3 linked regions of the Oryzias latipes genome follow. The main gene of each other region encodes a partner of the protein of the gene in region 3 in a complex. Links are inferred from orthologs where the notes say so. Each region holds a gene or a part of one and is shown on either strand. Other genes may lie near its edges. The genes, in order: poglut1, f3 and coagulation factor VII.

Region 1 (4,193 bases), about 6.4 Mb from region 3:
TTGAATTTTTATTTGTTTATTGCTATTTATTATTTTTATTGACTTATTATTGATTAATTATTATTGACTAATTATTTACTTTTGTTATTGTTATTTTTTATTGGCTTATTGATTTATTATTATCTATATTATTATTATTATTATTATTGACTTATTGTTGGGCTTTTCTAAATAATTTAAATTACATGTCAAAGAGGTCTAAAACTTCTAAATGTTTAGAAATTATTATTAAAAAGTATTTGTAATAATTTTTTTTATTTGTAAGGAGTCCTGCAACTATGCATTTTTTATTAAAGTTTGAGCCTCTAAGGCTAACAAATGATGTTTGTGTGTATATATATATATATATATATATATTACATAAAAGCTACTTAAATGCCACTAAAGGCTATATAGAGAGCATTGTCATGTGGGCGCCGACGACCTCACCATGATGGCGTCGTTCTCCGCCAGCGGTGGCCAGGCTTCCCAAGCGGGCATGTCTCCTCTAGCGATATAACCCATTGCTCTCTCTCGCGCTAGCTTACAGCCCATTACAACTCAACCTAACATTACAGGTGCAGCCATAAAGTTTGGAGCCAACTCAAACGAGAAAAATAAAGACGGGAATAGATCTATTTGTCCGCAAGTTTATGCGACAACGTGGATGCGAAGTGGTGAGGCTTTGGCCCGGCCGTTTCACTCACTGCATCACAAAAGAGAGCTTTTTTCAACTGGATATTTTCATCTGCTCCAGATTCATCTCGATTTAATTTAAGAAAGAAATACTCAGATATGCTGTTTTAATTTTAAATTATTTTATTTTTATCCTCCATCGTGGGAAAAGAACATGTTAAAAACACCATTTTTGTTGGAGTGGCTCTTTAAATGAACAAAATATGATTAACCAAACAATTAAGTAATTATTTATTTAGAGAGTTTATCATTTTATGAACTGGTTTGCTTTAGAAATCAAACACACTACACAAAAAACTAGATTTAGTGCCAAAAAAGTAGATTTTACAAGGATGTTTTCTACTTTTTTATTATTAGAAATAGATGTATATCAAAAATTACATGTGTTCTCAATAAACTTTAAAATGTATATAATTATTTTACATGAATACATTTATTTGCGACTTTCTTCGACATTTTACGGCAAGAATTTCTTCTTTTTTGCGCCCACCGCCGCAGAAACGGTGGTCAGACAGAAGCAACAGAGCGCAGATCAGATCTATGCTTTTGTTTTCATTTATTTTTCTCTCCAGTCAAAGCTAATCAACGAGCAAGCGATGGAGTGCCGGTGTTTGTGGGTCTTTCATCTTCTGCTGATTTATGGCTTAAATTTAGGCGGTGCATCAGGTAATAACGTTTTTTTTTGTGTCTTTAAACCTACTTTTGAAAACAAGTTCTGATTGATTGAAAACACGACCTTTCGCTGCACGTCTTAAAGAAACTTAATGCTAAATGGCTAAAATGCTGGGGGGCTAAGCCGAGCTGAGCTGAGGCTGAGTGCTAACTTTTATGGAGGCTGGGATTGATTTTATGAATGAACATAGTGAAATTGTAACTACACGAGTGTGTTTATTCAGTGAACCAGACCTGCTTTGCCGACAGGAGTTTAGCACAAATCAGTGTAATCCCAACCATTTCACTTCTAAAGTTGGTTACAACGAGACAAAAAAAAGTTTATCTAAGATTTACTAGTATTTTATTATTTGCCTGTTTTATTGTAAAAGGTCAGTTTAAGCTCTTATTTTGAAGCTTTTTGATGAAGCCGGAATGTTCGTCTGCAGGGGCGTGTTTGGTCATTTTGCAGCTCGGGGCGACGCAAGTCCCCCCTGAAAAAAAAACGTTACATTTTTGTTAGTAGTTTTCTACCAAATGTAGCTTAAAAAAAGATGTTTTACTTTTTATTAATTGGGCCATTTTGTTAAAAAAAAAACTTTTTACAAATAACTAGTTTGAAATAAATTACTCGGTTTAGCCGTTAAGGGGCTTGCTTTAAGCTCGTCCCTATTTACTTTATTGAAAAATAATCTAATTTGTACAACGAAAGCAAACGTTCCAACTTTGGCTCCATTATGATGAATGCTATGAAATTTTGAAATAAACAAGATTTTTATTTAACGTTTAAGGATTAAAGTCGTATGTATAAGTGGTCATGACCTTTGAGCAACGTAAAAGTAAAGGATCATGTGACAACAGGTTTCTCCCATTTCTTATTAATATAGTTTACAAACTAAAGGAAGACCATTTAAAGTTGAAAGAACATGAAAAAAATCACAACTTTTGGATGATTAACTTTGCTAATAGCCTTTTAGCTAACTGAGTATCCTAGATGATGCTAAAAGGCTTAATGGTTAATTTTTATTGTAAAAATATGGTCTTTTGATCGATTCTGTTCAGTTTTTTTTGTTTGTTTTTTTGCTCAGCCATTGCAAAATTTGTTGCAAAAAGAAAAATAGGTGTAAAAACAACAACACAAATTTACGTCTGAACGTCTTCTTCAGCCCAAAAGTGGAAGAAAACCCGCGATCGTGTTTCTGCAGCGGTCGGGAGCTACGTCTCGTGTAGCTCTGTCAACTGCAGCTGTCATCTGAGGTGAGTTTTTTTTTTTTTTTCTTTCCGGTCTGCCTGCAGATCCAACATTTTCACAAAACTAACCAGCAGCTCTTGATTTCAGCGTTCTCCAACAGGACTTGCAGCCTTTCAGAGGTGGGATCTCAGAAAGCCTCATGGCTTCCACGGTTCAGCGAGGCATGGGCACCCACTACCAGATCATCCAACACAAGCTGTACAGAGAGCAGAACTGCATGTTCCCTGCAAGGTGCACCCACAGGAACCCGCTTTGCCTTTGATCTGGACGCCAAACGTCAGCACATGCTGATTGGTTCGTCTGGTTTTTTTTTAGGTGCAGCGGCGTGGAGCATTTCATCCTGGAGGTGATTGACCGTCTGCCGGACCTGGAGATGGTGGTAAACGTGAGGGATTACCCTCAGGTGCCGAACTGGATGAGCCCCGCCCTGCCGGTCCTCTCTTTCAGTAAGGTCAGGATCATGACGGGGGGCTTCTTCATGCCTCTAAACCTCTTTTGATAACCCGCGTTTGCTCGGACTGAACAGACTGCCGAGTACCAGGACATCATGTATCCCGCTTGGACGTTTTGGGAAGGTGGCCCCGCTGTGTGGCCCATATACCCCACCGGACTGGGGAGGTGGGACCTGATGAGGACGGATCTTAAAAAGTAAGATGGAGCGGCAGTGCGGACATCCTGGTAGCTGCGAATGTTATTTAAACGTTTGTGAAATTTCTCTTCTTGTGTCGACAGGTCTGCAGCTCAATGGCCCTGGAAAAAAAAGGAGCCCAAAGGATTCTTCAGAGGCTCCAGGTGGGTCAAGCTAACGGGTCATTTGGGACTTTTTACAAATCAAATCCGGTCCACTTTTCACATGTTTTCTGGGAAAAAACAGATTCAAGAAAAAGTTAATTAAACAAATTAAACAAAAAACTACAATAGAGTTTACCTACGTTGGTAAAATGTTGTTTTTTGCAGAAAGAACTTTTTTTTTATTAAAAGAAAAGCGGTTTTACTACCAAACTAAAGTTGCCTTGAAATAATAAATCCTTTAAAAAAATTAAAATGTATTTGATAAAATCTTAAACTAATTGAAATTATAATATTTTTTATGGCGATACCCAACCTTATCAAACACAACAGATTAATAAAACTTTGTTTTTCTATGTTAATACAACACAAAATATTTTTCTGAGGTTGCTGTTGCCTCATTTGGCCACTAGATTTCCTCGTTCTGTTTTAGAAAGAAAACTACAGCTGTGTCCAAATTCCCTAATAAAACTTATTTTACTATATAGCATTTTTTTCCGGGGTTATTGAATCTACAATTCCAAAATCCAGTGCCCTGAAAATTTCCCAGAAGTCTCTGCGAAAAACCAGTGTGCAATGATGCTCATAGACAGAAATGCATTGCATTGTTACGATTTATCATTTGGAAAAGAAAACATTACATTGATTAAAAAAAAAAATCCCAGGTTTTCATCATCAGAGCATCACATGTTCATTAATAGTTTTTGTAAAATGTTTTTTTTTATTAGGTTTTACTGGGTGATGTCATTTGAAACAATATTTTTTAGAAAAACAACAACAAAAAAGGTTTTTGTAGGGGCTAGTGAGATAATACAGATACAGTTTT
Region 2 (3,015 bases), on a different chromosome or scaffold from region 3:
CCAGAGTCAAAAGAAGACCACTTCTGGTGGAGGGGGGCACGGTGAAACATCCGGTCTCACCGGTCCACCCTCCACTTTTTACCCTTCCTTTAGGCACCACATACTGCATGTTGGCACCACACATGCAGCAAACACACACTCACACATTTTTCCGATCATTCAAACACCACATGATTTTTTTAAAGTATGTTTTCATACTTCAGATTCAGATTACATGCTGTTTCCTTCTCCTATAAAGTGGATTACTCTGCTCATCTGCTCCTTGTTTGGCCCTTCTATCAAATTTTAGAACCCTTTGTGGCCCACAAGTCCAAACGTTTACTCACCCCTGAGCTAGACACTAAACAGCCATGAGTCGAAACCCAGGAATAAACCAGAATTAACAGTAGGTTTTTATTTTTATTTTTTTAACCTTTGAAGGGTTAGCACAACTCAACAAAAACCATAAAAGACCCCAGGCCACCTTTAACTGCAGCCTGGATGTTGACATTAGATAAGCTAGCAGGAAACCAAGGCCCTATAGGTCCCAGGCAGGAAGCTGAAAAGGAAAATTGAGCTATTAAAATTCTTAAACCGAATGAACTTTAGAATGTGCGAAACATACAGATACAAACATAATTAGTTAGAACATGTAACTTTATTTAAAAAAAAGTATGAAAACAGTAGTGTATACATGAGAGCACACTTGTTCTTCTCAGCTAAAGGTAAACCCACTTCCTTTGTTCACGTGTGTTCTCTAAACAGTTTAACAAGTCATCACAGATACATTGTTGTCACTTTAGTTGTTAATAGAATTAAAAAAATAAAGATGATTTTAACAATAAGTTACCACTTATATTTGTGAAAAAACACTAAAGGTAAACATGATTGTCCTGTAGTATGTTTTTGTGTTTTACTACTAATAAAAAGTCTAGGTCAAATTTACCCTCTAAGAGTCAAACTTCACCATTAAAGTCAGCATCTTTTCTCTGGAGGACTTTCAGAACCCTTAATACCAGAAAATCTCAGATGATGATATGCCTCACAGGCCACCGTAGGCTCCCCTGTCTCAGCTTTACACAAATTGTTTAACAGCGTTACCCTTTTTCCTACTGGTTCTGCTCAGGAAGACTAAGACGGCAACTTTTAGGATTTACTGGGATGCTCAGCTTAGAAGGATGAGTTCTATCTGCTTTCCAAAGGACAATTGTAGCCAGCAGCAGCTGATGCAGTTTCCTTTTCCAGTAAAGGTTTTATTTGTGAGTTTTCCTGGAAGGGCAGCTTTTCAGAACAAAAGCATATTAAATCTAGGATTTACCACAGAGCTGCATCTTAAATTTGAACCAACCGTGTCTGTTTGTGACAGTGTGTGTCGATTCTAATGGTTATATGTGGGTAATGAAAGTACAAGATTAATTATGAATAATTTCATAGTGATAAGCAACTTTTAGTAAATCTATCCCTGTTTGAGCCTTTTGTCTCCTAAAAGCGGACGTGCCATCTCTTTGAACCACCTTGTGTTGTACCTTTACAGCTTTACAGCAGAGCCTGCATTTCCTTTTCCTGTTTTAATACCAATATCTTACAGTGCACCACTTTCATTGGATTGATGTAAAGAAAAATCTTCTCAAAAGCAGCAGGTTTTTCTAAAGGCACATTTCCAAGACATTTTTAAGTTGCTCTGAGCCTTTTTTCTTTGACCAAAATAATTCAGTAACTGTTAAAAAGAAAACATAATTTTCCCAATCAATAATATCGATTTAGCGTTGTCAATCCATTATTTTATCATTGTTTAACACAGTAAAAAATGTGAACCAGGTCAAAGAAGGGTGGAAATGTACAACATTCAAAAACTAAAATAGCAGATCTGCAAGAATTCAACATTTTTAAAACTCTCAAATGAAATTGCGATAAATGACGGTAATGTCAGTAAAATATAGTAAATTAAGCATTAGGTACACACATATGTGCTGATTTAGTGTTGTTCTACTATAATCCCCACACCCCAATCATTCAAGTCTACAATTAAGTCAATAAATAAAGTCTCCTGTGGAGAACTGAACGTACCTGTCAGCTGAAACTAACCAGTTTAACATCAGCTTTTGGAATGCAACAAAACAAAAACATTTAGAGGAAGTTTCACAGAAACTAAAAATTACAGTTTTTGGACATTGGAATATTGGACATCTAGCAGCCTCGGGTTCAGTAGTACCGTCTGCCCCTGCAGACACTATATCTTCTGCAGCGGCAATCCCTTTTGTCTTCTCAGTGCTTTCTTCCTGTGTCTGTAGCAAACCAGGGTGATGCCAACGACAGTTCCCACGAGCAGCAGCAACAGGAGGACGCCTGCAGCAATGACTCCCAGGGAAAACACTGTGAAGACAGGAAAACAACCACAAGTCAGAGGATTTCTATTCAGAGAAATGGATTTAAAGACGGTGTAATCAAGAAAGACTGCACTGTACTACAATAATGAGTAGTAAATCAGCACTTCAACAGGCTGGCAAACTGGGTGTACCTCGCCTAAGCCTGACGCCAGGTTAGTTTTTGGCAGCCCGTGACCCCGAAAAGGACAGAAAATGAACGGATATATTATCCACATATCTATCTATACCTTTATTTAGAACAGGAGATCCAAATCAATAACAGATAAAAACAAAATGATTTAAAAAAGACAGACTGGCGACCTGTCCAGGGTGTCCCCTGCCTTCACCCACAAGTGGCCGGGATAGGCTCCGGCAGCCCCGTGACCGCGAAAGGGATAAAACGGAAAAAGATGAATGAATGAAACGTACTTGTTAACTTCAGCAGCAAACAAAACATAAACGTCTCTGTTGGATCACTTGATAACAATAAACTGAAAATGTTCTCTACAGTTTTTCCATCCTCAAAGGTTTTCAGACTCCAGTTCCAGTAAATCAATGACAGGAAAAGAGTAGTAGATGAAGACAGTAACACCTAAATAAAAATCGAACAACTAGCAAATTCTCACAGTCTAAACTAACACCGTTGTTTTCAACAGGCATGTTTTAGAAA
Region 3 (4,241 bases):
ACATCGCACAGGTGTCATCATCTTCTGCCCTTCCCCTCACTCATGGTGCAAAAAAGAAGTAATGTCTATTAAATGTAGCTTTCTTTTTTTGGAATTTTAAGGCTCCTCTTCTGTCTCCTGGATGGGCGTTTTCGCCTTTTGGCAGAGTGACATAGATAGACGGATGTAACAGAGAATCTGGCAATTTTTCAAAATAAAACATCTTTCAGATTCCGAAATGAATAAGACGGAAGTCATGTAAATGATTTATTCTTACCGGTCTGCGGCCCGGGGGTTAGGAGCCGCTGATTTAGAGGACCATTTTTAGCATTGACTTGCTGCAAACAGACAATCTATCCTACAGTTCCTGATTGGTTTAAACGACACAAAGCTTTACAAAAGTTCAGATATTGGAACTCTGGAAACAAGGCTCCGCATGGCGAAATTTTTGCAGAATTTTTGGCACGCCAGATAGCTGCCCCATCCAAAACATGTTGCTCCCAGAGAACCCAGCGGCGCTCGTCGCTTAAATCGCGCAGCAGGAACTCTGACTGTGTCCGTACACTGACGGGACGCCCCTGGCGCGCGAATTGCGTTCGCCGTGAACGTAGCTTTACTGCGAAACTCACAGTTGAGAAACACCTGATTGTTTAGCTGATCCAAATGTGTCGCTGTCCAAATATTTCTGAGCCTGACTGTCAATTCCGCTAAGGCACCGCCAACAGTAATTATGTCTGTTGCTGCCTCCCCCAGGTGAAAACTGCAACCGTGGGGCTGCCCTTGGGGCCCTGCTGGGCGCCGGGGCCGCCTACAATGGGCGGGGCATCCCACAGGAATGGAAGGACCACCTGAAAGATGGGCAAGAGCTCATTCCTGAGATCCTTAAGAAGTTTTAGTTAAAGCAACAGCACCCCCCATGGAGACAAAGAGAACTGCAGGGACTAATAAAAGTTGCTGCTGCTTTCAGGTTTCATATTTATTTATGACTGATTCCACTTCAACAAGAATATTCTTTTTTTTTTTGCACGATCTATATATTTTTTACCATCAAATTAAATTATTAATCTTTTTTTCTGTAACATTTTTCTGTTTGAAGTTGCCTTTAAAAAATAAACAAACAAAGTTAAACTGGCTGAACATATTTGCATTTTTTTTCATATTTTAAAATAGAATTTAAGGAACAAATGAATCCATGTGTTTTTTTCTTTTTTTCTTTTCTTTTATTTAAGCTACTCAAGCAGAAATGTGAATTAGCTGTTGAATTATTATCATTTCTTTTGTTGTGACTAAACTGAAGGAGTGGAGCAGCTCAAACGTAAAAGTGTGGAAATTTGGGTCACTTTCTTTTTTTCTTTTTTGGGGAGGGTTGGGGAGAGTGTTTGTTTCACTCCTGACCTTTGATCAGTTCAGAACAAACATGGCGTTCATCTACAGAGAAAAGACGCATCTCTTCTTCTTATTACTCACCGCTGCTTCATTCCCAGCATGCACTGGGACTTCGGAAGGTTCGTACGGTCCTTTCTGTTTCTTCAAGTCGCTATCAGGATGATGGTTGTAGAAATAAGAGTCCAGGTTCTTCAGAGTATTTAAAACAGTCCACTAGTAAAGCGGAAAAACAACTGAAATACTAATAATCAGACTTGTTTACATTGTTTTTATGTAAAACTCAAAAAGCTTATAGAAGAAACATTTTAGACGTTGATCAATTGAAGTCAGAATTGTGATGAAGCGTCTTGAATTAGTGCCTTCAGTTTTCATTGCAAAAACTGACGGAAAAAGTAAAATCTAATTCAGTTTTTAATTAGAAAATCCCTATTGAAAATTAAAGACAAAACTGAATAATTTTTTGCTTTCACCTTCAGCTTTTGCATTAAAAGTTTAGATATTTTAATCCTGTAAAACCCACCATCAAAAAATGCAGAATTCAAATTCTTTAGAATCAAAAGAGTTTTTAAAACCTTGGAAGAAATCCACAAATATTTTGTGGATCTTCTATTTTTTGTGAGATATAGATATTATCAATATTTGGGATTTATTAATTTTTTGTTGATATCAATGATAGCTGAAGATGCAAAAGAAACATTGACATGAATGTTCAGGGAAAAAAGCCCCTTATTTACCCACCGTCTCAAATTTGATCCACACATTTAGAAATTGGTGTAAATGTATTATAAAGAATTAATTATTATTTAAATCCAGCAAGTAGTCGTTAACAAAGGACCTTGGAGGTTTGGCGGGTTGGGGTCTTCACTGAGGCAATCGGTGGTTGTCGTAATTGGTCGTCTGCCTCCATCCTGTTGGTGCCTAATCAGAGCGCCCCCTAGGCGCCACCCCTGACCAGACGGGTGGCCCTGTGGGCGGGGACCTGTGCTTGCTCCTGGAAGTCTGTGTGTGTGTGCATTGGACATGCACCTCGGGGGGAAGGAACTACTGCACCTTAAACATGAAGGACCCTTGGTCGGAGGGCTGCTTGGACATCGTTGCTAACAAGCAGAAGATGTCCTCTCAGTGCCCTACCCGCCGATTTTAGCTGCACCCTTTGTTGTAGTATGTCCATGTTTACTTGATTATATGTGAACATTACTGGAGCCAACAGGTATGTTTGTAACATTTGAGTGTGTGTGTGGACAGGCCCCGCCCCATTCAGATTTGTTATATATCTAAACCTGACAGTAATGATTATAAACTTCCAGCAACCTGTTACTTTATGATTTTACCCCCCCTCCCCCTCTATAATCACCCTCCTACCCCCTTTCCAACATCCCTCTCTCTTCTTCCCTCCTTTCCTTTTCCGCCTGGAGCAACAAAAATTGTCACAAATATAATTAATTTGAATAAAGTTGAGTCTAAATTACAAAAGGAGTTTATTCAAATATACATGTGGTGTTCGAAGATTCATAACCCCATGTTGTAAAAGTAAAATATGTCCAACACAAGCGGCCTTTAGCTCTCATCTGTTTGCTCAGATGTTGGACAGGACAAGTTAAAACGCAATAGCAGAAAAAGCCCTTCTACTGCCCCTAGTGGAATAATGATGAACTACAGGGCAGAAAACATGGACCCAGTTGAATCAAATAAGTCTTTAGGACATGCTAGTGAGATAGTGGTCTCAGAAATGCATATTTTAAATATGATACCAATTGTTATCCCTTGTGCTATCCTAGGCACTTTAACATTGGGAGTTGGGTCATCTAGACCCACTAGACAGTGCACTGAACCTTTTTTCTTCAATCATTTGTGATCTTCACTGGTGTCCATGGATTACATGAAATCTTTCCACCTTTATCCACCTTTGTCATGGTAGGAATAACACATCAATGTGAGGGTGGGGTCATCTAAGATAGCACAAGGGATAAGAGCAGAAGTCATGTAAACGTTCCTGTTTGTCAGAATATATCATTTCTGAACTGCTTATTCCCACCAAGAAGGGGTGTTCCTGGAAAGACCCGAAGCGAGTGTTTTCCTGCATCGGAGCCGTCGGGCTAACTCGTGGCTGGAAGAGTTGAGGCAAGGGAACATCGAGCGAGAATGTTACGAGGAGAAATGCTCCTACGAGGAGGCCCGAGAAATCTTTGCTCTGCCACAGCAACTGGTAAGGAGGAGTTTCGCCTGAGGGTCCTGGTGGTGTTGGTTTTTGCTGAACTGTGTTACCTGCTCTTACAGGAGACTTTCTGGAGGACTTACACAGGTACATGGGTTTTGACAGGCTGTTAGAGTAACATGGAGGAAGTCTGCTGGACTCCCATTGAAAAGTCCTCTTGCTTTCAGCTGTAGACCACTGCTTGTCCTTCCCCTGTAAGAACGGGGGAACCTGCACTCGCCACTTCAGCAACTACGTCTGCAAATGTGCCCCAGGCTTCCACGGAACCCACTGCGAGAAAGGTAGAAACCCGGAGAGCAGATGACGCCACGGCTTTTTAATTCATTTTGGTTTGCAGGAAACCATCGAGCGTTTGTTTTTGCAGCTCGCCTGACCTCGAATGGCTGTCGCTACAGAAACGGAGGCTGCGAACATTTCTGCACGGAGCTCTCAGATCGTTCTCCTTCCTGTTCCTGTGCACCGGGCTATGGTCTGGATCAGGACAACAGCACGTGCCTTCCCAAAGGTCTGAGCTGCTTTCCAAGCTGACTTGTTTGCAAAAGCTAAAAATAGAAGAAACGTGTGAGTTTACAGCACCCAAAGAAGTTTCTCCAACACCGGAGATGTCGTTGGTGACATCTAAATAAGACATGCTCTTTGGCCTATCGCATTCAAGTGTTTA

The links.
Region 1: the proteins of coagulation factor VII (region 3) and poglut1 are in contact, whole or in part, in a crystal structure (PDB 5L0S), measured with the Homo sapiens proteins. The link is inferred for Oryzias latipes from reciprocal best matches to the Homo sapiens genes F7 and POGLUT1. Residues at the interface, in NP_000122.1 of Homo sapiens: Asp108, Gln109, Cys110, Ala111, Ser112, Ser113, Pro114, Cys115, Gln116, Asn117, Gly118, Gly119, Cys121, Gln126, Ser127, Tyr128, Arg139, Asn140; in NP_689518.1 of Homo sapiens: Met103, Phe104, Pro105, Ser106, Arg107, Arg132, Asp133, Pro171, Ala172, Trp174, Pro178, Thr179, Thr214, Asn239, Gln240, Ala241, Val274.
Region 2: the proteins of coagulation factor VII (region 3) and f3 are in contact, whole or in part, in a crystal structure (PDB 6R2W), measured with the Homo sapiens proteins. The link is inferred for Oryzias latipes from reciprocal best matches to the Homo sapiens genes F7 and F3. Residues at the interface, in NP_000122.1 of Homo sapiens: Leu73, Lys78, Phe91, Arg96, Leu99, Phe100, Ser103, Ser120, Lys122, Gln124, Leu125, Ile129, Cys130, Phe131, Cys132, Leu133, Pro134, Phe136, Glu137, Gly138, Arg139, Lys145, Gln148, Ile150, Val152, Asn153, Glu154; in NP_001984.1 of Homo sapiens: Thr49, Asn50, Lys52, Ile54, Glu56, Trp77, Lys78, Ser79, Lys80, Phe82, Tyr83, Glu88, Asp90, Asp93, Gly141, Gln142, Thr144, Glu162, Arg163, Thr164, Leu165, Arg167, Phe172, Tyr188, Trp190, Lys191, Ser192, Ser194, Ser195, Gly196.

What each region holds. Positions count from the first base shown.
Region 1 is NC_019860.2:16,695,377-16,699,569, reverse strand, and holds the start of poglut1 (protein O-glucosyltransferase 1), read left to right. Parts: upstream 1-1,253; 5' UTR 1,254-1,271; coding exon 1,272-1,341; intron 1,342-2,492; coding exon 2,493-2,583; intron 2,584-2,665; coding exon 2,666-2,809; intron 2,810-2,893; coding exon 2,894-3,029; intron 3,030-3,104; coding exon 3,105-3,226; intron 3,227-3,310; coding exon 3,311-3,370; intron 3,371-4,193. UniProt on the Homo sapiens protein: Dual specificity glycosyltransferase that catalyzes the transfer of glucose and xylose from UDP-glucose and UDP-xylose, respectively, to a serine residue found in the consensus sequence of C-X-S-X-P-C.
Region 2 is NC_019878.2:5,081,954-5,084,968, forward strand, and holds the end of f3 (tissue factor), read right to left. Parts: intron 2,353-3,015; coding exon 2,210-2,352; 3' UTR 619-2,209; downstream 1-618. UniProt on the Homo sapiens protein: Initiates blood coagulation by forming a complex with circulating factor VII or VIIa. The [TF:VIIa] complex activates factors IX or X by specific limited proteolysis.
Region 3 is NC_019860.2:10,267,677-10,271,917, forward strand, and holds the start of coagulation factor VII, read left to right. Parts: upstream 1-1,353; 5' UTR 1,354-1,396; coding exon 1,397-1,484; intron 1,485-3,407; coding exon 3,408-3,571; intron 3,572-3,642; coding exon 3,643-3,667; intron 3,668-3,747; coding exon 3,748-3,861; intron 3,862-3,944; coding exon 3,945-4,085; intron 4,086-4,241. Other genes in the region: uncharacterized protein LOC101163470, read left to right, coding at 733-875. UniProt on the Homo sapiens protein: Initiates the extrinsic pathway of blood coagulation. Serine protease that circulates in the blood in a zymogen form. Factor VII is converted to factor VIIa by factor Xa, factor XIIa, factor IXa, or thrombin by minor proteolysis.